Rattus norvegicus: one gene and its partners. The protein of the gene in region 1 purifies or fractionates together with the protein of each later gene. This does not show direct contact. Links are inferred from orthologs where the notes say so. Each region holds a gene or a part of one and is shown on either strand. Other genes may lie near its edges.

Region 1 (6,153 bases):
CACACACACACACACACACACACACACACACACACACACACACACACACACTGACTGACTGACTGACTGACTGACTGACTTTTTAAAAACAATTTTTAAATATAGATTCTTGGTGCTGGAAGGACTCAGCATGAAGAGCAGCTGCTACCCTCCCAGAGGACCTGTGCGTGATCTCCCACCACACACATGGTAATTCACACCTGTCTGTAACTCCCCTTCCAGGGCTTCTTGACACCTCACACTGACATAACCACAGGCAAAACACCAATGAACATAAACTAAAAACTTTTAAAATGCAGATATTCCAGGCACCCTTCTGCTAGGTAACTCTAAGAGATGCCTACACATCAGAACTTTTGAAACCTTCCATTTCCTTGCTTATTCAGACAGGGTCTCCGTGTGTATGCTTAGACCTCAACCTCTCTACCCTCCGGCCCCAGCCTGCTGAGTGTGCACTCACTCACACTTGTGATAAACCTTATTGACCAAAGAGATCAGCACACACTTCATTTGCTCAGTCCATCCCTGTCCACTACTGTGTCCAGTACTTTGCTCTCATAAACAAGAACCACAGAAATCCTAGTAGGTATCTCTCTTCATATAGTTTTCTGAGGGTGACAAACTGTGAGGCTCTCCTTAAAAAGCAAAGGTTTTAGTAAGTATGCAACTGTGTGTCACTGTTACTCAGAAAAGCCCACACCCTACTGTGGTCTGAGAGTCACAGGGAATATTGGCAGATACCCAAAGCTAAGCTAGATATTTTAAAAGGGTCCATTAAGAGATTCCTAATAACTGGGCTAGAGAAAAAGGCTAGGCTGGGCCTTTGTGTCCCAGATCTATGGGAATCACTTTTGTCTTTTATCATAATGACAGACACTAATGTTCTTGGTCTGAAGGATGCTTTCTGGGTTGGATGTAATGAGAGACTGTAAATTCTAATGCTCCAGAAGCTCAGGCAGGAATATTACACTTTCAAGCTCAGCCTACACCACACAGCAAGTGTCTGGGAAACTTGGTCTTAGGAGTGAAAAAAAAAATCAGTTTAAAAAAGCAAACATTCTTAGACCATCAGAGTGCAATTTAATGAGCATAGGAAAGGAAGGAAGGCCAGCCGGAAGGAGGGAAGGAGGGAGGGAGGGAGAGAGAGGAGAGGGGAAGAAGGGAGGGAGGGAGGGAGGGAGGGAGGAAGGAAGGAAGGAAGGAAGGAAGGAAGGAAGGAAGGAAGGAAAGAAAGATGCCTTTTAGACATATAAAAATGTTTAGTCAAGGAACCCCACTACACCAAAGGCAGCACCTGATAATCAGAACCCAGTTTCATCACTCATTCAAGACAACTAGCCAGTCCTAGAACCCCATGCCACCCAGTGGAATTATATAAGCAGACACCAAGAGCAATTGTCTGGAGAGAAGCCACCTTGATCTGCCCTGGGGCTGGAGAGCCACCACCACCACCACCCCACCCCCGTACCCCCTCCCCGAACCCTACTGCCAGGATCCAATCAAAAACTTCTGTTAGAGACTGGGCCTGACCTTCAGCTAAGATAAGTCACACAAGAGGGGTAGCCTTAGGGAGATGATAGGCTTAGGAATGTAGTTAGGAATTTAGGGGGTGAACCTATGTAATGGCCCACAGCATAATAAAATGTAACTTTTGTTATACTAGCTACACTAACTGGACGTATCTACCTGCTTGCTCAAGACATCAAGTAAATCAAGTAAAAGAGACCTTTAAACGAGGTTATAAAGGTATTTAGTAGCAGAAACAGAACTAAATCCCCGGCCACCAGTACAAAATGTGCCTATTAATCTCGGGAGTAAATTCTGGGTCACCCGGGGCCACATTGTGAGCCCCTTGCATAAAAAAAAAAAAAAAAAAAAGTCGTTACCGCCGATATCCCCGGACCACTTGTGCCCTCCCTAGTCCCCGATCTCCCTCACGTCCTTTCTATGTCAGCTTGCCTCGCTATACTTCATTAATCCTGACCCTCGACCCGACCGCTCTCGGCACAGTCGGTTGCAAAGTGAACGACACAGCGAAGACCTGCAAACCTCGCCCCTCCCTCAAGCCACAGAGATAACCCCAAGGCGCATGTGTTGCCAGAGACAGACGCACATAGATGCCATCACGCCGATGACGTCAGAGAGGCGCCTGATCCGAAATTGACGCCGGCTGGAGCAAGTCCGTGCAGTTTGTAAATTGTTTCTTGGGCTTATCGGATTTTTTTCAGGTGGAAACTTAAACTTAAACAAAAAAGCATCCAAGTGGGGGTAAAAACCTCTGAACAAAGCGAAGAAAGGAAAAGAATGCATGAGGCCTGGAGGAGACATCATTAGAGCGCTCCGGAAGCTGGCCGACAATGAAGGGTAAGTGGAATGAGAGGCGCGGAATGGGGCCGAGGTGAGACTATAGAGCACCGGAACCAGAAGTTGGTCTGTGAAATGAGTCAGGGACACTTGTCAGAAGACATCTTCCAGGGAATGGACTCAGTACACAAATCGAGGCCCCAAGTCTGAATCGGCCGACTCAGTCTCTTAGCTAGGAATGGACGTCAGGATCGAGTGTGTGTGTGTCCTCCTCAAGGGCTTCTCAGGGGAACTAGAAGAGGTAGGTCCAAGTCCTTGACGGGACCTAGCCACTACCTTCCCATATAACTTATGTCTAGGGCCTGCTCCCCTCTACTCTCTGGCTTTTCACCCTTGCCCCTGCCCCTGTAAACACTGCTGAGGGGCCGTGTCGCACACCTAAGGCGTTGATATTTGAGCTGAAAAGACCTGCACCCAGAAGGGCAGTTAAGCACTGGAGCAGTATTAGAGTAGAGAGGGGATGCCGTAAAGATTAAGCCTCTGATCGGGCGATTCACACCCCTGTCCGTGCCCTTTTCTCAGAGAGCAAGTTTCTTAGCATGTCTTAGCTACAACCTTACTATGTGCATAACAAGGAGTAACTACTGTTTTAAATTGCTTAGAAAGATTAATGACATTAATATATACATATTATGCATACATATATGTGTGTATATATATATACACACACACATATATATGCACACACACTCACTCAACCAACTGCTCAACCAGCAGTGAGTGTCCCCTACCTGTTGCATGTTGCAGAAAGACTTTCAGTTTTGATGCTAGGCATCTGGGGTCAATACAACAAAGTTCTCCCTGGGGTTCCACTCTCAATAAACAAAAAAAGCACAATCTCAATCCATTGTTCAAGGGAGAACTAGATGCTGTATATAAAACTTGTAAGTGCCTTGGTTTGTTTGCTTGCTCAAGCATGTACTCAGGGAAACAGAGATGGATTTTTGTTTGTTTGTTTGTTTGTTTCTTACTGTTGCTGTTGGGATACAGCCAGCTATGTTCTCCTGGCTGGCCTGGAACTCACTGTGTAAAACCAGCTTGGCCTCTACCTCTCAAGGGATGGGGATGCCACCAAACTTAGCTCAGAAGTGGAATGTATGGAGTATGGTGTGAACTGCATTTTCTGGTCATGAGCCCCATGATGCTTTCCTCCAAACAAATGAGAAACAGGAGGTTTAAAGAGGTTTTGGCGGGGTTGGGGATTTAGCTCAGTAGTAGAGCGCTTGCCTAGGAAGTGCAAGGCCCTGGGTTCGGTCCCCAGCTCCGAAAAAAAAAAAAAGAACAAAAAAAAAAAAAGAGGTTTTGGCATCCTGAAGATGGTATTTAGAATTTGGAAAGAGACTATTGTATCTTATCTGGTCAGGATACATTATAGATTTTAAGGTGTGAAAAAACCTCTTTCAAGCCTCTCCGTAGTCAGCAAAATGTAGTGTTTCAACCATACGCATTAAGATCGCCTCACTTTTAGTGTCTAGACTTACTAGACTTACTGAGCCACTGCCCAAGCGTAATTATAACTCTTGGGTGTTTAAAATCAGATTAACTCTAAATGTGACCCATTGAGGAATTTTTTTGAACATGCAGAGTCGAGTAGGAACCAAAACCCTAAATTTTAATAAGATCTCAGTGATTCTTAAACACATTAAGCTTTGAGGGGTGCTTTTCTAAAAAAACTACATCCTGGGAATTTCTAGGATGAAGTTGGCAAGAGGGAAGGGTAGTGTGGTACATGTGTACCACTATAAGGTCAGTGTGGTGGTACATGTGTATAATCCCAGCTACTAGCACTTGGAAGCCTAAGACAGGACTGGTGTGGGTTGGAGGCCAGCCTAGGATACAAAGCAGACACGTAAGAGGGCTGGGGTCTACGTCCACAGTGAAGCACCTGCTCAGCATACATTACACTCCCCTCACATTAGTCCTCCAGCACTGCAGCATAAAATAAAAGGATCATCTTCTCTGAGTAAGTGTAGTTCTTGTCCTAGTTGGAAAAGCCTTGGCTATTATACTCGTTCCTAACAGGAAGAATCATTTCTCCTTGTTTTTGTCTTTCGTCCCCCAGCTGTGATCTACCATGCCTTTTCTCATAAAGAAGCCAAGGACCACGATGTGCAGGTACAGTCTGTCAGAGGTGACGGCAAAGGAGGCTCGGGATCTTCTAAGGCTGGTGTAACTGTCTTTTCCCATGGATTACGCCTCTCCTTTCCATTCTGTGTACTAGGCCCCATAAAAACCTTTTGTGCTGATGTCTTCATGAGCCAGACTCCTTCCTTAGGCTACCAGAGTCAGCTCTGAGGGACTTGGACTCCTTGATTTCCTGTCATCCCCCTCTCTGTAGGGATGACAGCCTCGCCCACCTGAAACCAGTATCCTGGGCAGTGCTCAGCCCGTTCCATAAGCCGCTGTTAGGAGTTTTGTCTGGGTGTTTCCGGATGCTTTGTCATTTGGGCAGAAGCTTCACCTATGGCTCCTAAAGGGAACATGTCCTTGAAATCAAGACTTCAAAAGGCCCGTTGACCTTCAGTTTTTAATCCCCAATGAAAGAGAGGCCACCTAGTTACAAGATCCGAAGTGTCCTCATGTCACTTGTTGATGAATTGTTGAGCTATCCCTGCTTCAGGCACCTCGAAGGTTATGTATTCTATATTTTCACTCCCTTGCTTTAGCATAGAGAGGGTGGAAGTCACTATTCATACATTACCCTAAAGCTGGCAGTTAACCCAGACTTCCCAGCAAATGACTCAGGGAAGAGGTCAGTCCTTAGGTAACAGGGTTTCAGTTGATGTTGCCCGGTGAGGAATACATTGTTGCTGCTCCAACTCCAGAGGACAAGTGATTAAAGAGGACTTTGAGGGGCTAGGGATTTAGCTCAGTGGTAGAGCGCTTACCTAGGAAGCGTAAGGCCCTGGGTTCGGTCCCCAGCTCCGAAAAAAAGAACCAAAAAAAGAGGACTTTGATATCCACTGTCCTCCTCAAAGGACTTGACCTTCCTGGAAACCCCAGTTTCCCCTAGTGCCGGAGTGGCTCATTTCCCTACCAACCCCCCGCTCCCTTCCCCTTATAAGCTGGTCATGACTGATTGGATAACCTGTATCATCCATGTCTCAGGCTTCCTTCCCTACAAGGATTAGAGAAGTACTAAATCACAATAGGGCTTGGATCCTCAGTAGAGGAATCTCAAAGAAGCAGGACAGGAAGTCAGTGTTTGAACTGGCTGCAGTGTGGGACACTGTCACAAGTACCATATGAGTGTTTCTTCTACATCTTGGCAGCTGTGTGGAGCAAACCCTTGGCAAAAGAGATTTGTGAGCCTCAGTGGATAGATAGACAGATCAGCAAAGATAGTGGCTCATTGGAACAGGGTATGAGGGCCCTGGTGTCTGGGCAGAAGAACAGTGAACAACACCCCCATGTCTCTGAGCAGGAGCTGGGAACCCAGCGGGCTGAGGCCTTTGTGCGGGCCTTCCTGAAGCAGAGCATACCTCACATGAGCCAACAAGACTGCGAGAGCCATCTGCAACGCAAGGCTGTGATCTTGGAATATTTCACTCGCCTGAAGCCGAAGCCAAGGCCAAAGAAGAAATCCAAAGGCCTCTCTGCCAAACAGAGGAGAGAGCTGCGGCTCTTTGACATTAAACCAGAGCAACAGAGGTATGCCCACCTTCCTAAAGGTCTTGCCTTCCAACAGTGCCTAGTCTTCCTTGTCCGGGTGTAGACTGGAGAGCCTAGAGCTCACTGGATATCTGTGCCCACTTAGGCTCAGGTACTTCTCTGCCTTCTGCCACAAGG
Region 2 (5,323 bases), on another chromosome or scaffold:
TAATTACCCTCCTTTTGCAGATGACAAACCAAGGCACAAGGGTTAAGTCAACTATCCAAGGTCACAAGAAGCAGAAAGAGGCTAATGAAGCTTGGACTGCCGGGTCAGTACCTCAATTATACAGGTTCCTCCAAGACTTTACGCTCACTTAATTTCCTATCCGCATTTTGTAATCCTTTTCTTAAAGAGAGCAACAAAATCTGGATGTGGCTGCAGAGGTAACAGATGCCAGTGTGCAGTTTTCTTGTAAGTATTTAAAAATACATTTACATATGCAAACGTATCCGCAGGGTTTGGCGGGCAACCAGCTTTTTTCAGCATACCGTCCTGGCTGCCTTTCTAACCATGATGTTGTGTGTAGCAAAGATAGTGCCTTTATTTACCCACTTTCCCCATATTGAACCTTCTTTCTCCTCCCGCTGTCGTCTGTCCCCTTTCGGAAGGTCCCTACCCATTTCGCACGATTTCTCCTTTGGCCGTCTTCCCATCCTGGTATCCCTTCTCACATAACCTTCCTCTTCATCCTCCTCACTTAATCTCCTTCCTTCCAGTCTCCCGAGCTTCTCTCCTCTCTGACACCAAGGTTTCTTCACGGTCCAACCGGTTTCTTCGGCTCACCGCCCCTCTGCCAGTTCTGGGCTTTAAGGCTGCCAGCACCACCCAGTCCCCGCATCCTTCCCCCATCACCTCCCCCGCTGCCGCCCCTCCCGGGCCGGGAGGGAGCGCACAGTCGGCAGGCGACAGAGAGAGCTGACAGCGTAATGAATGGCTTCAGCTGTAATTAGCGACCCCGCGGCTAATCACGATGTGCATTTACATTTTAAGTGCTGCAGAGGGAGCGGGAAAGGAAGCTACGCGGGCGGGGAACTGGGCCTTTTCTGCGTTCTCCCTCCACAGACTCGAAAATAAAGTGAATAGGGGAGTCTATGGCAGAGGGTAGTGGTGCTGAGAGGGGGTGGCGGTGTCCTTGAGGGCCAACTTGGGTAGAGGCACAACCACCCCTTCCTTATGGAACAAACTTGCAGTCCCCAGGTCTTCCAAATTATAGAGTACTGCCTACAGGGTCTCCAAGTGTTTAACTCAGGCTTGCATACTCCCAGGGACGCAGAGCTCGCTTCTTTTCCAACCAGCACACTCCTACATAGCTTCTAGTCTTTCTGGAACTTTTTCTCAAGCCAATCCGAACCTGCCGACTTTAAGTTCCACCACTTGCCCAAGAGCACAGCAGAGGTGGTGTCGTCCCAAGGTTGGGCCTCCAGAGCCTGCTCCTTCCTTTGAAGTCTGCAAGAGTTGGATCTAGGACAGAGTCCCAGTTCCAGCCACACTCCTGGAGTGTGAGCAAGAGATTGGAGTCAGTCACTCACACTTGAGGCAAAAAAAAAAGTCCAGGTGCTGCAGCCACACTCCAAGAAGAGATGAGATATAAGGCCAGTGTTCTGAGCCGCGGGGCTGAGAATTGTCACAGACAGCAAAGAGGAAGAGGAGGGCCGGGTAGCTCTACTCCTAGACTGAAGCTATGTTCATCCAGATACCATCTTGCTGATACTTTGGAGAACACAGTTCCTTACAGTCCTTAGTGCTTCTTCCTTCCCTGTGCTTTAACAGGTCTGTCTGACTCCCTGCCTTTCGTGGAAGCCGGTTGAAGACTGAGGACATGGTCCCAGGGGAGGATTAGATAGGGTCACTCTTTATTAAACCGTCTTCCTTTCATCAGCCCTTGGCCCCTAGCCTCATCTTTCTACGCTCATCTCACCTCCCAGCAGAGCCCGAGCCTCTCCTTAGATTCTGTGGAGTTTCCAGAGTTTGCAAGTACTCCCACCCCCAACATTCCACCAAGGCACTCCACCCTGCCTCCCACCTCTTAAAACCTGCCTTCTCTCCGTTTAACAAAAACAATCCTCTGGATTTCTAGAGGCCAAGGCTGACTGGCAAGGAATTCCACCTGGAATTGGAAGTCAGAAATCCGCGTTAGCACGGGCTGAGCCACGCACTTAAAAATACACGCAGCTCTGGTAACGGACTTTCAGGCATAAATGTTAGAATTTAACGCCTTGGAAGAAATGGTCCCCTGTTCCCCATTCACTTTAGGCAGGCCCAACGCATCACTTCCCACATTTCAGAGATGTATAGGTGCCGGGAGCCTGGAGGTATGATCAAGAGGAGCAAAGCTGAAACTTAAGTCATTCCAAGCAGCTACTGAAAGACCAAGCCACGACGTAGCGGTCCCAGCCCAGGGAAGGCGCTGCGTGCAGCCGCAGCCAACGCCTCCCACACTCTGCTGACCATGCACTGGCTGTCCTTGACGCAAGAATATATAGAGAGAAAGGGAGGGAGGTCCCTGGAGGGCTGGAGAAGCGAAGCCCCAAGAGGTGGTTTGGAAATCTCTTACCTAGGAGGGGTCTAGGGATGCCCTTGAGCTGGAACTCGCAAGGCTTAGGGACTAGGCTTGAATCGGCGTTTGCACCTCAAGCATAGTTTTTATTTAGGTTGTTCCTGCAAGAGGGCTGGTTCAGGGAGGACAGATGGTGACTTCGGGGAACTTCACCTCCCAAACCACCCCTGCTCAGCCGCTGAGCACCAGCGCTGGATCCCAAAGGCTGGCGGGGCTGGGACTAGACACGCAGAGTTGGGGCGGGGCCTGGACTAAGGGGCAGGGCCTATCCCGCTCCCAGGCGGAGCTTCTGCTAAAGGCGCGGAGCACAAGGCTCCGAGGGCGCAGAGTAGAACAGCACTACCCTGTAGAAGTCTGGGCTGAAGACTCCGCGTTCCCTGCTCACCCTCCAGCTTTCACTCGGTGCCAGCATCCCAATTCCTGCCGGCCCTCGCCCGGCACGACCCGCGGCCATGCAGCCCCGGGCTTGAGGCGGCCCCATGGCAAAACCTGCGATCCCAGCGACGACGGCGCATGGAGAACTTCCGTAAGGTGCGCTCGGAGGAGGCGCCGGCGGGGGACGGTGATGAGGGTGGCAGCCCGAGCTCTGGCCCTTTTGCAGATCTGGCGCCTGGTGCTGTACACATGCGGGTCAAGGAGGGCAGCAAGATCCGCAACCTGCTGGCCTTCGCCACCGCTAGCATGGCGCAGCCAGCCACGCGCGCCATCGTCTTCAGCGGCTGCGGCCGGGCCACCACCAAGACCGTCACGTGCGCCGAGATTCTCAAGCGCCGCCTGGCGGGCTTACACCAGGTCACGCGGCTGCGCTACAGGAGCGTGCGCGAGGTGTGGCAGAGCCTCCCGCCTGGGCCCACACCGGGTCAGACGCCCAGCGATCCGGCCGCCAGTCTCAGTGTACTTAAGAATGTACCGAGCCTCGCCATCCTACTTTCAAAGGACGCACTGGATCCACGACAGCTTGGCTACCAGCCCCCGAACCTCAGTCCTGGTCCTTCGTCCCCTCCTACCGTGTCGACGTCCAAGAGGAGCCTGGGGGAATCTGCAGCTGGAGAAGGCACAGCTAAGCGGTCTCAGCCTGAGCCAGAGGCTGAGAATGAGGACCGGACTGCCTGAGAATTCTCGCCTCTGAACCACCTAGACTGGATCTTATATCTTCAACACACCTACATCCACATGCACCCTTCCTACCTGGGTTTTAAGGGGCCCATGTTCCTGAATATTGGTCCTCAAAATGACAACGCGGATCCCAAGGCGACAGGAGAGGGAGCTCAAGAATTACAAGAGAGGATTCTTGAAGTCCGAGGAAAACTTTGTGGGACATGTTGCCAGAAGCCACAGAACACCACCCACACCTTTTCTAGGCCATCTTTTTTAGGGAAGCCTGGTGGGTAGTGGGACTCTTGAGCTTTCTTGGGGACCCAGACGTTAAAAGCACCCAGTGTGCATGGAGGCTGACAGTTGAGGCTTTAAAAACCGTCCTTGTTGTTAACTGAGAGCAGGAGCTGTGAAGCTGTTTCCTTGAGGGTGACCAAGTTGAAAATGTCTGGACCCTGTTCTGCCCACCCACACCCTAGCATATTCCTTTTAGCTTCCCCCCACCCTCACCCCTGTTGCATGGTGGCAGAGACGGGACCCAGGAGGAAACTTGCCATGCTTCCTCCCCTGAGTCCTGCTGGAGTATTGCTTCCAATAAAACAAACATGAAAATGGCTCCGTCCCCAGTTTTGTCTCTTTTTTTTCCCTTACCCGCTCGCCTGTGCAGAGCCCACTTTGGCATGCTTGCCTTCAGCCCTATTAGCCTTTGGAGTCTTCAAGGTCAGACGCAGACGGGGCAGCGTCAAAAATGTCGAAAGAGGGACTTGTGGTGGAGGGGGTTGGAGGTCTGTGTCCCTGTTGTATCCCCACAAGGGAAAGGAAGCAGTGTTGCTGCTTTTCTGGGAGGGGAAGGAGGGGGAGCCTTGACGAGCTGGAAGCGGCAGCCTGCCAAGGCTGGCCAACCATGCTAAGGTTCTAACCTTGCACCCTCCTCCCAGTAGCCATTCTTACCCAGAGGCAGGCACAAAGCCCCAGGAGCAGGGGCTCCCCTTCGCTGCCCTCTCTCTGCAAAAGGACAGCACACCCTTGGGAGAGGGGGAGGGAGAGAGACAGCACAAATCCACTGCTGGAAATTACTATTCAGCAGAGAAGCTTGGGCTGTGAATCACTGCAGGCTCCCTGATAAGCTGCTGCCTTCAGCCCTGCACAGCTGTGGGTTGAGAGATAACAGCCTCAGATGCCTCTCAGCCCAAGTCCAAGTCTGGAGGGGGTGGGGGTATGCTGTGTGCTGTGGAAGTCGGGGAGCTGTGCAGCATACAGCTCAGGATCTTCAGGGCAGGCGCTACCCCGTGGAACTCAGCACCTCTGGAAAGGAGATGGGAGAGAACACATTTGTAAGTCACTTTGCTTGTAGAACCTTGAAATAAATCCCACTGGTGAGGATGTGGGTTTCTGCAGCTGATGGAGGGGCGCCTAGGGGAAAGCACTCTCCTCTCCTAACACTATCTCTGCTCTGTTTTGAATCACTGACTCGTGTCATCCAGACTGTCGTTCATTGCCCTCTGCCTCCCACCCACCCCCCTGACCTAATTATTTCTTTTTAGGGGAGGTCTGGCCATGTAGTGCAGACTGGATAATAACTGATCCTCCTGCCCCAGCCTCCCAAACGCTGGGATTACAGGTGTGTAATTTGTCCGGCCTTATTTCTTGTTCTTGAGGAATCTCTAGGGAGAGCCAAGGGGTTTAGATGTGTTTGTGAGCCTGCTATGGAGCAAGAAGCATGGAAGGAATGAAGGCTTGGCTGGGGAGGTAACTCGGCTGGTAGAGTGTTTGCCTAGCATGGATAGTCTCACTTTTTACTCGCAGCCCTGCCCACCCCAACTTGTCATGGTGGTG
Region 3 (5,646 bases), on another chromosome or scaffold:
ATATATGTATTTGTTTTATAGATATAGATATATATATAGGCCAGACAGTGGTGGTGCATACCTTTAACCCCAGCACTTGAGAGTCAGAGGCAGTGGTTCTCTGAATTCAAGGTCAGAGTTTCAGGACAGCCAGAACTATACCAAGAAACAAAACTAAAAGAAAAATATACAGCGTGTCATTTAATTTTTTCTTTTTTTGTCATATGCATTGTTGTGTGACCATTACCACCATCTACCTTCGCATTGCTCCTTAGTTGTTTTGGTATCCTAAGTCTCAGGCCTAAATCACTTCACTGCCTTTGGCAATATGCATCAACTGGGAAGTTGGCAAGGCCTAAAAACAACTGGTATGTGTCAGTCAGGTGGTGAGTGACTGAAGTAAGCAAGGTTCTAGTAGAGACTGGTCGGTGACAAAGGAGCATCAAGTAACTGTGACTGCTGTCCTGAAACCACCTCGATACACTGGGCATCGAGGCCATCACCATCACCGTCACCTCAGTCACGTATGTGGCAAGTGTTCTGTTGAGCACGTGCCCTGCTGGGCCCAGAAGAGAGGGATGAAGCTTCTTGCTTCCAATTTCCTTTTTCTGGCTATCATCATCTAAGAGTGCTTGGAATTGGGTCTGACCCAGAGAGGTTCTTGAAATGTTCCCTAACAGTGTGACTTGGGGTAAGAGGTAGAGGGCCCCTGGTCTCTTGGGCCCAACGACAAGATACTACATAACAAACATCTGTAGAACAAGTGTGAGAAAGTCTCCATGAAGGAGGAGACATTGAAATGGGAATGAGAGCTGTCCAGGGGGAGAGCAAGGTCTGAGTGGACTCAAGGAAAGAGACTTTCTAGGGGGGGGGGGGTGTCAGCACATCGGAAGTTCTTGAGAGTTCAGGTCTGTTTGAAATAGCATTGAGTATGGAGTGCCCCGTACACACCCATAATCCCAGCACTGGGGATGAAGCAGGAGAATCAAGTAAAAGGCCAACCTGGACTACACAGTTAGGCTCCCCTCCCCCGTCATTACATGAAAAGAGCAATATAGTATTAGTGCCCGTGTTTGTATATCTTCTGTTGCCAGTAATAACCACAGACTAAGTAAATTATAAACAGCTATGTTTTGGCTTATAGTTCAGGTCCAAGGCCAAGGGGCTACATCTAGTTGGCTTCTTGCTTATAAAGTCCCAACAGAAAATAGGGCAAGTTCCCATTAAAAATGCAATACTACCACTAATAACACTATACCTGATGGTTATGAGCTCTCTTGACTCCTCTAGGTACCCCATGTTGGAAGATGCCAGCTACTGCTTATGAAAGGGTAGTTTATAAGAGCCCTTCGGAGTACCACTACATGAAAGTCTGCTTGTAAGTTCCGTCTTGTGAGTTCTGTTTTATATAACCTGTTTTTGTTTGATTGTTTCTTTTTTATGAATCTGAAAAGCATGGCATTTAATGTGATATTTTCTCTTAATATTTTTTACAGAGAGTTTCAGGAACATGGGGTTGGACTGAATGGAGCCCAGTTCAAACAGCTACTTGTTTCAGCGCTGAAAGACCTGTTTGGGGAGGTATGGAATTAACATTCTTAAGGTTTTTGTAAGAAATTTTAGAAAAAGGACTAAGGGTATAATTCACTGGTGGAATCATGGCCTACCTTGGGCCTGATTGTACCTGTTACAAACAAACAAAAAAAGAACTTTTTTGTTCCTTTGTTAGAGACAGGCCTTCTGTATGAGCCAGGTTGTCTAGAGAACTTGCTCTGTAAACCAGATTAACATCAGATTCACAGAGCCACCTGCATCTGCCTCCAAAGCCCTGGGATTACTTGCAACATTACTCCTAGTCTACAAAGAGCAGGTTGTAAGAAGTACAGAAATACATATTTTTAAAACGGAACTAGAAATTGCAGAAGCCAGCTTTCAGAAATAATGAATTCTGTAGGTTTTTCTAGTGTATCCTGTATTTGGCAAGAAACCTACTAGACACCTGTTCTTGAACAGTGCTATCAAGTTATAGTCTAGACTGGTAACCTGGAGACATCACTGTCCGTCTTTGAAAGAGGAAGGGCTCGCATGAGCATAGCATGCTTCAGTAAGAACACCTCAGTACGAGGGACAGCAGGATGTCCTGAGCTCAGTCCCTGGAAGCCGTATGGTAGGAGAGAACCAGCTCTTGAGAGTTTCTTCTCATCTCCACACACTTGCAGTAGCACAGGCACACATACATACACACGTGGGCAAACAGACCTCCATACATGTACAGAGACATGCATACATACATGTGGGGGAAACACACACACAAATAAATAAACCTTAAAGTGATAGAAAATCTAAGAGAGTGTGAGCAGAAGCAAACTGCTTAGTGATGCTGGCCGACATCCCGATGTGCTTCTCAGCCTGTCACAGACCAGACACTTGGAGCAGCTCTGTCTGAGCAGTCACCTAATAGAAGCTGAACTTTGGAAATGGGGGGCGGGGAGGGGGGAGTACAAAGATAGGGTTGACTGTCAGGAACTCCCATGACTGATTTATTTTGTTCAGATAGACTCTGCAAAGACTGTAAGAAGATGGAAAGATGAGATATAGGTTGGGGAAAATAATTTGAAAACTATGTCTGACAAAGAAGTATTGTCTAGGATATTAGAACTCTCAGAACCCGATGGTGTTGGATACAATGATTTACACCTGTAATCACAGCACTAGACAGGCTGAAGTTGGATGATCAAGGTTATGTGTAGCAAGACCCTATCACCAAGGAGCCCCAGTCATAAGAAAACAAACAGTCCAAATCAAATAGGCTAGACTTTCACAGACATTTCACTAGAGAGAGTGCACCATTGACAAAGAAGCACGTGATAATATTAGATACCAGTGGAATGTGTGCCAGCTGCCACCTGACTGATCACGTGTTTACCGTACGCCTCAGCAGTAGCACTCACGGTATTCACTCCAGAAAACCGAAAGAAGAGAAGAGCCTGTGTACACAGACAGCTGAGACGGCTTAGCAGGTAAAGGTGCTACCACCAAGCCTGAAGACCTAAATTTGATCCCTGGAGCTCATATGGTGGAAGAAAAGAACTGACTTCTTCAGATTGTCCTCTGACTTCCATACGTACATCAGGGCACATATTCGCGTACACAATAAGTAAATATAATAAAAAAAATGACTTGAAGCAAAAATCTACATTCGGCCTGGAGAGGTCCCAGCAGTTGCAGACCCCTGGGTTCAGTTCCCAGGACCCACATAGTGGTTCATAACTGCCTCGTAGCTCTACTCTAGATCTGTTCTCCTTTTCTGGCCTCCTCAGGCACCAGGCATGCACACAGTGCACAAATATACATGTGCACAAAAAAATAAATGTTGAAAGGAAAAAAATACTGCACACCAGTGTTTATGGTAGTCTTATAACAACCAGGAGCTGGAAACATTACATTAGTTCTTAAGTGGATGGATTATTCAGTGATTGTATATTCATATCATGTATGATATAATTGTCAGAGAAAAAGATAGTGCTACACAAAGCTCTAGAAAGTTAAGTGGAGAAAGCCAACCCTGGGTAAGTTCCTCACTGGGTGATTCTAGGTCTATACTGCTCTTCCTACAACATAGCCTGTAGACAGAAGTGACTGCCAGGGGTTAGTGGGTGTAAGTAATAAAGGACCAATAGAAAAAGTCTTGTGATGGTCCAGGTTTTTATCTTGGTGGCAGAGGTAGTAGTTATAAGAAGTTGCCTATGTGGAAGCACACACATATAAATATATGTGCATACAAATAGTGTCAGGTCTAAGTAGATTCAGTCGTGTGGACACCAGTTACCTGCTTTGATCCTGCATTGTAGTGACATAAGATGCTGCCTTTGGGGGGACTGAGGGAAGAGGCCTTTGGAGGGGGGCTGAGGGAAGAGTGTTTGTACTTCCCTATAGATTGCCACAAATTGAAATATAGAGCCAGCAATTTGTATGTCATAAAAAATGTGATTTCAGGAGATAGAGCTAAATAAGACATGGTTTCTGTCCCTTGTTAAATAGTGTGAGTGACAAGGAGGGGAGAATTGTGAATGAGCAAAGTATAGAGTCTGGTATAAAAAAGAATGCAGTAAGTAGATTGATCTTGTAAGGAAAGGAGCTTTTTGTAAAAAAACCTCTCTCTGTCTGACTGTCTCTCTCTCTCTGTATGTGTATGTTAGTACACATAAATATGCTGTGTGTGTGTGTGTGTGTGTGTGTGTGTGTGTGTGTGTTAGTACACATAAATGCTTGTGCGCGCATGTGTTGTGATCAGAGGACGACTCTGGGGTATTTCTGTCCTTGCACCATATGGGTTCTGGGGATCAAACGGGGTGGAGCTTGGGTCATCAGGCTTTGTACCATGCACCTTTACCCACTGAGCCATCTCACCAACTGGAGAAGGAGCATTTTAACACAAGGTTCAAAGGTGAAAAGGGATGGGAACATTCCAGGCAGGGAGAGCTCTTAGCAGGCACGTGAGAGCACCAGCACTGTTGAAAGACTGGGTTTCTTAGAGTTCGAGAGTGAGCACGGAAGTCTGCTAATGGGATTGCTCCATTCCTAGGTTGGCGCTGCTTTACCTGTGGATGTTCTCACTTATGATGAGACCACACTGTCAGCCATCTTGAGAGTATGCAGCAGGTATGACCCTGGGACAGTTCTACAGTAGCAGGCAGAGAGAGTGATGGGACAGCACAGTGAAGATGCTTCCCGGATGGGAGTGCAAGGCCAGGCACCCTGAGCACCTTTGGGGATTTACACTGGAGTTAATGTGAACGTTTCTCTCAGAGACCAAACCTTTGGGGTTCAGACTCCAGACTCCATCTTAGGGATCCTGACCTAAGATTAAACTCAAGTAAAGCACAGGCTGGTACCTAGCTTCAGTTTCCAGGCTACCCCCCAACAAGACCTGCATCTCCAGGTTATTCCAACAGATCCAGCCTCTAGCCCAGTTTCCAAGTTATTTCTCCAGCTTACAAGCTTGCCCCTGCTTAACAACCACCGAGAAAACACAAGTTAAGTTTGTGGTTTGGCTCCCAACACTAGCCAGTTATGCTAAAGGCCACAGTAGCACCCCGATTAGATGCTTGCCAGGCCAGAAAGATTCTTGGGGCTCATTTTGTTCTCTGTGATATTTTTTTTTTTTTGTTTTGTTTTCTTTTGTTTTTTTTTGTTTGTTTGTTTGTTTTTTTCTGGAGCTGAGGACCAAACCCAGGGCCTTGCGCTTGCTAGGCAAGCGCTCTACCACTGAGCTAAATCCCCAACCCTCTGTGATATGTTTTTACTTTTAAGGTTCTATTTCATAAGCCTTCTGGTTTGCTAAAAAAACAACTTCCTAGACCATCCCAAGCAAAAGTACTAAGCGCTATTACAACAAAAATCTTTATTTATGCTTTCTTGATCTTTATGCAGTGGTCTGGCCAAATTGTGGAGCTCTTTGACCCTGTTTGGAGCCTATAAAGGCAAGAAATGTGCCTTCAGAGTGAGTCAGGTAACGGCTTTTCCTTTACAATTCAGAGCTACTGAGTACCGCAGTGATGTGTTCTGGGTGCGTCTCATTTGTCGCGAGTAAAGCAGTTACCATCTAACAAGGGCAAACCCAAAATCTCTGCTTCCGGAACTGAGGCATAGTGGTCAGATTTTAAG
Region 4 (6,385 bases), on another chromosome or scaffold:
CATCTGGGTGCCATCTAGGTTACTACTGTAGCTAAGTCTGGCTTAGGTTTTGTTGCTGTTTGTAGTTTGTTGGCTTTGCTTTTTGTTTGGTTTTGGTGCTAGGGATCAAGCCAGGGATTATATGTGCTGGTAAGCACATATTCTGCCATAGAGCTGTGCCCTGATGTACTTTCGATAGATGTTACCTGTTACAAGGAAGTTAATGGTGTGCAGGGAGGGAATTCTCATCCAGACAACCTATCAGGCTTCTTTTCTCTGTCAGTCAAGCCTTTCTGCCAAGCCTGTGTGCATCAGTGCTTACCTACAGAGAAAGCCAAATTACCAGAGTAAAAATGACATGGCGCTCCTGAGGACAGTGTACCGCTTAGCATTTAGTGTCTCTCCCTTGTAGCTGAGAGCCTTCCTCAGCTGTTCACCCACCTTGCTAGACCATGTCTGTGGCTCATTTTCCAAGTTTGGTAGAGATCTGTTAAGTGCTGTAGGAAACTGATGTTCTTGCAAGCAAGCATTGTAGCAGCCTTTAAAGCAGCAAATTTATATGTGCATGGACATTAGGCTTAATAAACTTTGGTTTTGTTAATCATTGTTTTGAGTGTTTTCTGTACTTCATGGTTTTAAGTATCATCCTATCTGCCCCACCCAAAGAGAAAAACCCCTCCATGCAGGATCCTAAGAGCATATGCAGCACACCTGGCTTTATTTGTGTCAACGCTTATTTAGACCACATACTTGCACGAAGTGGCAGGGTCACACAGAACTACTTTGAGGGGTTTTTACTCTTGGGTGGTTTCCTTATCTTACTCGGGTTAGGAACGAGTCTCTTTATTTTCAGGGGTTGTAGTGTTGCAGCTGGAGCTTGTCCACCTTCAGCAAGCTTCCTCTTAAGTCTTGTAAGGTCATCAAATGAAGTGTCCAAAACCTCTTTGTCCTGGCTTTCCAAAGACTCCGTCTCCAAACTGTCTGTGAGACCTTGGGTTCCGTCTGGAAGCCAGGGCACATTTAAGCTGGGCACCCTGGGAATGATGGCTTCTACTTCATCAGCAAAGTCCATGGTGTTCTTTCTGAAGCCCAAGGCTAGCACACATTTTAAGCCAATGACTGGAGCAATTCTCTCGCTGAGCTGAGGTACCTGACAGGCAGGAACGGTTCTGCTTAAACTCAGCTGAATCAAGTGTGAGGTGATGATGGCGGGCTTGACTGACTTACACACTAGAACCAGGAGCAGTTCATTCCTCTCCAGAGCCCGGGTGACCTCATTAACCCCGATGGCCAGCTGCTTCCTGGTGTGCACAGGGGTCCACCCTGACACCCGCACACCCCCATGGGGCTCTTGCGGCTCCTCACTGGTCCCAACAAGCCCGCCTCTCTGCTTTGCTTTCCTTTTCTTCTTATCTTCAATTTTCTGAAGTCCGATCGACTTAAACTTGTCCTCCAGCGTCTGTAGGATAAAGTGCATGTCTTCTCTCTCCAAGCTGCTCCAGGAAATGACATAGGGGTTGTTCAGTGATGTCTTTACAACCAGAGGTCTAGTCTTCCGAATAGATCCCCTCTTTGGTGCCTGAGGAGCTGCAGCCATCTTGAAAACCCTTTGGAAAGAAGCAAAAATGATAAAAGTCATGTTGGCAGTGCATTTTTGAGAATATTTTGGGTATATTCTCGTCTTTTTTTTTTTTTTTTTTTTTTTTGGTTCTTTTTTTCGGAGCTGGGGACCGAACCCAGGGCCTTGCGCTTCCTAGGCAAGCGCTCTACCACTGAGCTAAATCCCCAACCCCCCATTCATTCATTTATAAGCACGTTTACTGCAGTGGGCAGATGGTGTTCCAGACACAGCTGCTGGTGGGCTCTGAATTCCCTGCAACTGCTCACACAGAACTTCTCTTCTGGACTCTCTCAAGTTCATAAAGAACTAGGTCGGATTTTAAGAACCAAAATAGTAATGATCTATCTCCATGGCTAAAACTTTGTAAGTCTCCCTCCTCTCATGATCCCCAAGTTCCTAAAACATTTTAAACATACAGGTTTATTTCCCCTCTCATGTGATCATAAAATTCCTGCTTTGGCTGACAATTTCATGAAAAATAGGAGAAATTTGTGGTGAAATTCTGAGAGTAACTCATTAGGGAGAAATAAATGGGCTGAGCTCCTAAAAGAAAAAACAAAACAAAACAAAAAAAACCCCACAAACCCACTGGCCTATTTGTTCTTCCTAGTGACTATATCATATTAACCTCACAAACAAGTTAGGATGTTCTCAACTGCTCCTTGTCAGGCATCCATTCATTTAGATCCTGTTTATTCTTCCCAAAGGCAACTAAGTATGTAGGTAGATATTATATATAATATATATGTATACATAAATAATATGCATGTGTACTCCTCTCAGTTGTTGTCTCCTTCCTAGAGTTCATCTGAGAACTATAAAGACCCAGTTGACAAAATAAGTCCCCTCTGATTAAGGTTCCTCTAACTCAGGGCGCTTTCTCCACACATCCAGTCCTAAAACACAAGAGTTTGCCAGTGTGGATTAGGAAGCAGATTCACTGTACAACTCACAGCTAGTTTTTCTGAAGACTTTTAATCATGATTCCATCTTAGAAATAACCTGTGATTGGCTTTTAAGAACAGTCAGATGGCTTTACTGAGCTGGGATTTCTGGGAGTACAGCTTCACCAGAGGTACTGGTAGAAAGATGCCCAACGTTTGGAGGTTGGTGTGGGACAGGTGGCATTTCCAAACTGGACAGCTGTAGGAAGTGGTGTTGCAGACTCACTCCTCTCCTGATCCTTCTAGTCCCCGTCCACATAAAGTCAGAATTCCTCCCACTAAAAGCTGCAATCTTGATTCTGTCAATGCTACCCCACTGCCACAGACATTGGCTAATAGCGGCTTCCTTCTCACAACGCACTGCACTGCTCCAATCAATGCCCCAACAGCTGCATACTTCCCACAAGTTCAGACTCAAGAACAGGTCATCTAGATCTAGTGAGGTGACTACCAGCAGCTGGCATCTAGCAGTAGGTGAAATGACCAGGAAGCAAGACAAACAGCCCCACCGCAGCTCTTGCCAAACTACAAGTCAGTTACTGTGTTGCCTAGCCCGTCAGTGTAAGAGGGACACACTCACAGATGCTCTGCAACCAAGGGGACTGCAAGATTGGGATGTACTCTGATTTACAAGAACCTAGAAGGGGAGGTGGAAAAAAGCCAAGTCTACATAAGGCGACTGCCATGCAATATGAATTTTTAAAATGCTGAACGGTAACGGGTTCACAAAGCTTGCTCTTGCTCAAGCGCCTTGCCAACTATGTCTGCAAGCTGCCACTGCCTACAGGACTAACTGCAAACTCAAAATGTTTACCTTTTTACTCACCCATCTCAAACCTTTCTGCTTTCACCCACCACCCATATTACAGGTTCTGAACATTTAGTTTCTCATGTCCTTATTAAGCGTACACTGTGCCTGGTATAGCACTCACACACCAGATGTTTTGTTTTCCATCAAATTCTTGGGACTTATCCTTGCTCCCGGTTATTAGGCGTGGGGCAGAGCAAACAGCTTCTGCGACTAATAAAAACGGCTCACTCTAAAGCCAAAGTAGTGAAGTACCTTGAGGAACATACCTTGAGGAACAGACAGTTAGCGACCTTAGTTGAGAGGGTCAGGAAAAGAAGTCTCTCTGGAGGAAATGACCGTAACAACCGCTTTCTAAAAGAATTCCTTCCGAAGGAAGCGGGCTGCGAGGTATCCCAGAAGAGTATTAAAGTTCAGTATCGCTCGGGACAGAGATGCTAGAGTTGGAGTAAGGACAAGATGGTGGTGACTCTAGAGAGACTTTCAGAAGGGTGGCGCTATTAGAAATGGGTCACAGAGAGACCTTGATTTGGGGAAAGAGACCCTGGATAGGCCGTCAGCAGCAGAGATGCTCCCGTAGTCTCGGGGGAATGATGTCTCACGTCACACCACGCGACGGAAGGAGGCCGGGATCGCCTGAGGCCAGCCGGAAAGAACCTCAGGGAGACCGGGCACTGGATGAACCCCACGCCGCGATGACCCGGGTGCCCACGGGCTGGGACTCGGACCACGGACTCGCATGCACCCACCTGTGCAGAAGCGCCCCGCGGAGACCACGTGACAGATCGATTCACTGCGGCGGCAACTCCGCCACCACCGGGGACCACGGCGCCCGCTCCACGTGCGCCTGCTGCGCGCGTGCGCAGAACACGAGCTCCGCCTACCTGCCGCTCTGCATTACGTCACTCCTAGTAAGGAACGTCAGCCGTAGTTTGGCTACCGAGAGTGGTCCCTGCGTAAAATCCCTCAGCCTGGGACCGAGCTCTGGAGCAGCACTGCGCAGGCGTACGGTCTGTCTCGCGAGAGTCTGTGGTTGCTGTAGTAACCAGCCTCTGCGCTTCTGTCAGGTTGTCTAAGGATGCTGATGTACCAAGCAGCTCCCGGAGTCTGGTTTTGTGAGAGGTGGATCTCTCCTTTCCGCTCGCTGTTTTTAGCCAAGTTGGTTCTGCCTGGGAACTCTGGCCTGCCGTCTCTTTTCGTTCTAGGGACGCAAAGCTCCAGCCCTTATGGCCACCCATTCATTCCCCTGCCCACGTCGCCGCGCCACCACGAAAATCAAATAAGTAGTAGGGCTAACAGGGTTGCGTGTAATTACAATTTATGTGGAGAATCTTGGGCCCTCTGAAAGGAGAATAAGGGCTGCGTTCAGTTCCACAGCGGTACTCCAGAATATGCCGGCAATATCTGTTGTGCCTCCTGACTAATGGAGACTGTGTGTGTGTGTGTGTGTGTGTGTGTGTGTTTTATGAAACAAAATCACTGGAAAGTTACAGACAACTAGTAAAACAGTGGAATAGCGTGCTAAAGATTAAAATTCTGTTGGCTACACTTGACAGGATTTTTTGCTGTTGTTCCTTTCTGACCTCTCAGGACGTTGGGAGGTGTAGTGGCTATTCCTGGTTGTCCGCTTGACTATATCTGGAATGAACTGCAATCCAGAACTGAAAGGCTCACCTTTGATCCTGATATTGAGGCTGGGCGATGGAGATTCGGGTCCTTCTCTTTATTTTCCTTCTAGGTGTCTTCATTGCTCGTTTTAAACTAACGTTTATAGTCTAGCTTCTGCATTTTCATCATTCGCCACTTATTGGACATTTAAACAAAACAAAAGCGGTTGCTTTTGGTCAAGGATTGTTGAAGTTTTTACAGGGAACGTGTGCTATGGTTTCTACCAAAAGTTGATTAAGAAGAACGAAGTCAGGACGAGTTTTGAGTGTGCCAACAGGTTTTTGTCTCATAAAGCGTTCTTTACTATAACCCGCAGTCCTGGTGCGCTGAAGACAAATCGCGGTGATAGAATTGAAATACTAAAGGTTCACATGAAATCCTGGCGCGTGGGAGACTGGGGCAGGAACCTACACACCATAAAAAAAGCAGAAAGAAGGAGCGAGAAAAAGTGTAAAAAGGTAGCCAGACTGCTATGTTCAAACCTTAACCTTACCACTAACTAGTGTACCTACGCCTCGGGCAAGTTAATTAGCCTTCTGTGAAATGATAAAAATAGCCCCTATTCTGAGGATTAGAAAAGAGTTCTGTGTAAGATGCTTACCATGATGCCTGCCGCATAGTAAGTGTCTGACTAACTATGGAGCCGCGATGACCCAGTGACAGTTGTGGCAGAATTAAGTTAATAAAAATTATATATAGCCTCTACTATTTTGGTCCTTGCTTTCTATTTGAAAACTTAGCCATATTTCCACAAGAATTTTACCCAAAAGAATATTTCTCACAGGTAATTTCTTTCCATTTGTGTAGCCCAAACTTTACAGCAACAAAAAATATTTTAAAGTTTTTTTAATCCTTTGTGAAGATGCAGTCACCTCCGTGCATTTTGTTCAGAGTAATCTAATTTATTTCACATAGGTGTGTGCTAAACCCCAGCAATATCAATTCGGTTTATGTTCAGATTTTTTTCTACAAACATTTGCTTCCCATAGTCCCCTTAATTGCCATGCATTTAGTAGTCTATATATACACTGAGTGATCGATTTACCTTTCAATGATAGCTTTTATTTTACATTGAAAACAAGTTATGTTTGCAAATACACAGCTTATGAATATACTGCTTATGAAAATAGTCAAGTCCCAAAGACTATACATGGACTGACCCTGGACTCTGACCTCATAGGTAGCAATGAATAGCCTAGTAAGAGCACTAGTGGAAGGGGAAGCCCTTGGTCCTGCCAAGACTGAACCCCCAGTGAACGTGATTGTTGGGGGGAGGGCAGTAATGGGGGGAGGATGGGGAGGGGGATGGTTTAGGGGGATGTTGGCCTGGAAACCGGGAAAGGGATTAACATTCGAAATGTAAAT

What was found.
Region 2: the proteins of Pop4 (region 1) and Rpp25 purify together in Homo sapiens (affinity purification with mass spectrometry; 3 studies listed by BioGRID and IntAct, counting the BioPlex papers as one, with this or other methods). This does not show direct contact. The link is inferred for Rattus norvegicus from reciprocal best matches to the Homo sapiens genes POP4 and RPP25.
Region 3: the proteins of Pop4 (region 1) and Rpp14 purify together in Homo sapiens (affinity purification with mass spectrometry; 3 studies listed by BioGRID and IntAct, counting the BioPlex papers as one, with this or other methods). This does not show direct contact. The link is inferred for Rattus norvegicus from reciprocal best matches to the Homo sapiens genes POP4 and RPP14.
Region 4: the proteins of Pop4 (region 1) and Rpp38 purify together in Homo sapiens (affinity purification with mass spectrometry; 4 studies listed by BioGRID and IntAct, counting the BioPlex papers as one, with this or other methods). This does not show direct contact. The link is inferred for Rattus norvegicus from reciprocal best matches to the Homo sapiens genes POP4 and RPP38.

What each region holds. Positions count from the first base shown.
Region 1 is NC_086019.1:100,101,103-100,107,255, reverse strand, and holds the start of Pop4 (ribonuclease P protein subunit p29), read left to right. Parts: upstream 1-2,199; 5' UTR 2,200-2,357; coding exon 2,358-2,364; intron 2,365-4,426; coding exon 4,427-4,479; intron 4,480-5,788; coding exon 5,789-6,015; intron 6,016-6,153. UniProt on the Homo sapiens protein: Component of ribonuclease P, a ribonucleoprotein complex that generates mature tRNA molecules by cleaving their 5'-ends.
Region 2 is NC_086026.1:66,800,542-66,805,864, forward strand, and holds Rpp25 (ribonuclease P protein subunit p25), read left to right. Parts: upstream 1-2,720; 5' UTR 2,721-2,905; coding exon 2,906-3,505; 3' UTR 3,506-4,101; downstream 4,102-5,323. UniProt on the Homo sapiens protein: Component of ribonuclease P, a ribonucleoprotein complex that generates mature tRNA molecules by cleaving their 5'-ends. Also a component of the MRP ribonuclease complex, which cleaves pre-rRNA sequences.
Region 3 is NC_086033.1:19,270,200-19,275,845, reverse strand, and holds part of Rpp14 (ribonuclease P protein subunit p14), read left to right. Parts: intron 1-1,269; 5' UTR 1,270-1,286; coding exon 1,287-1,357; intron 1,358-1,475; coding exon 1,476-1,560; intron 1,561-4,564; coding exon 4,565-4,641; intron 4,642-5,412; coding exon 5,413-5,491; intron 5,492-5,646. UniProt on the Homo sapiens protein: Component of ribonuclease P, a ribonucleoprotein complex that generates mature tRNA molecules by cleaving their 5'-ends.
Region 4 is NC_086035.1:79,821,194-79,827,578, reverse strand, and holds Rpp38 (ribonuclease P protein subunit p38), read right to left. Parts: upstream 4,212-6,385; 5' UTR 4,102-4,211; intron 3,790-4,101; 5' UTR 3,622-3,789; intron 1,587-3,621; 5' UTR 1,577-1,586; coding exon 758-1,576; 3' UTR 671-757; downstream 1-670. UniProt on the Homo sapiens protein: Component of ribonuclease P, a ribonucleoprotein complex that generates mature tRNA molecules by cleaving their 5'-ends. Also a component of the MRP ribonuclease complex, which cleaves pre-rRNA sequences.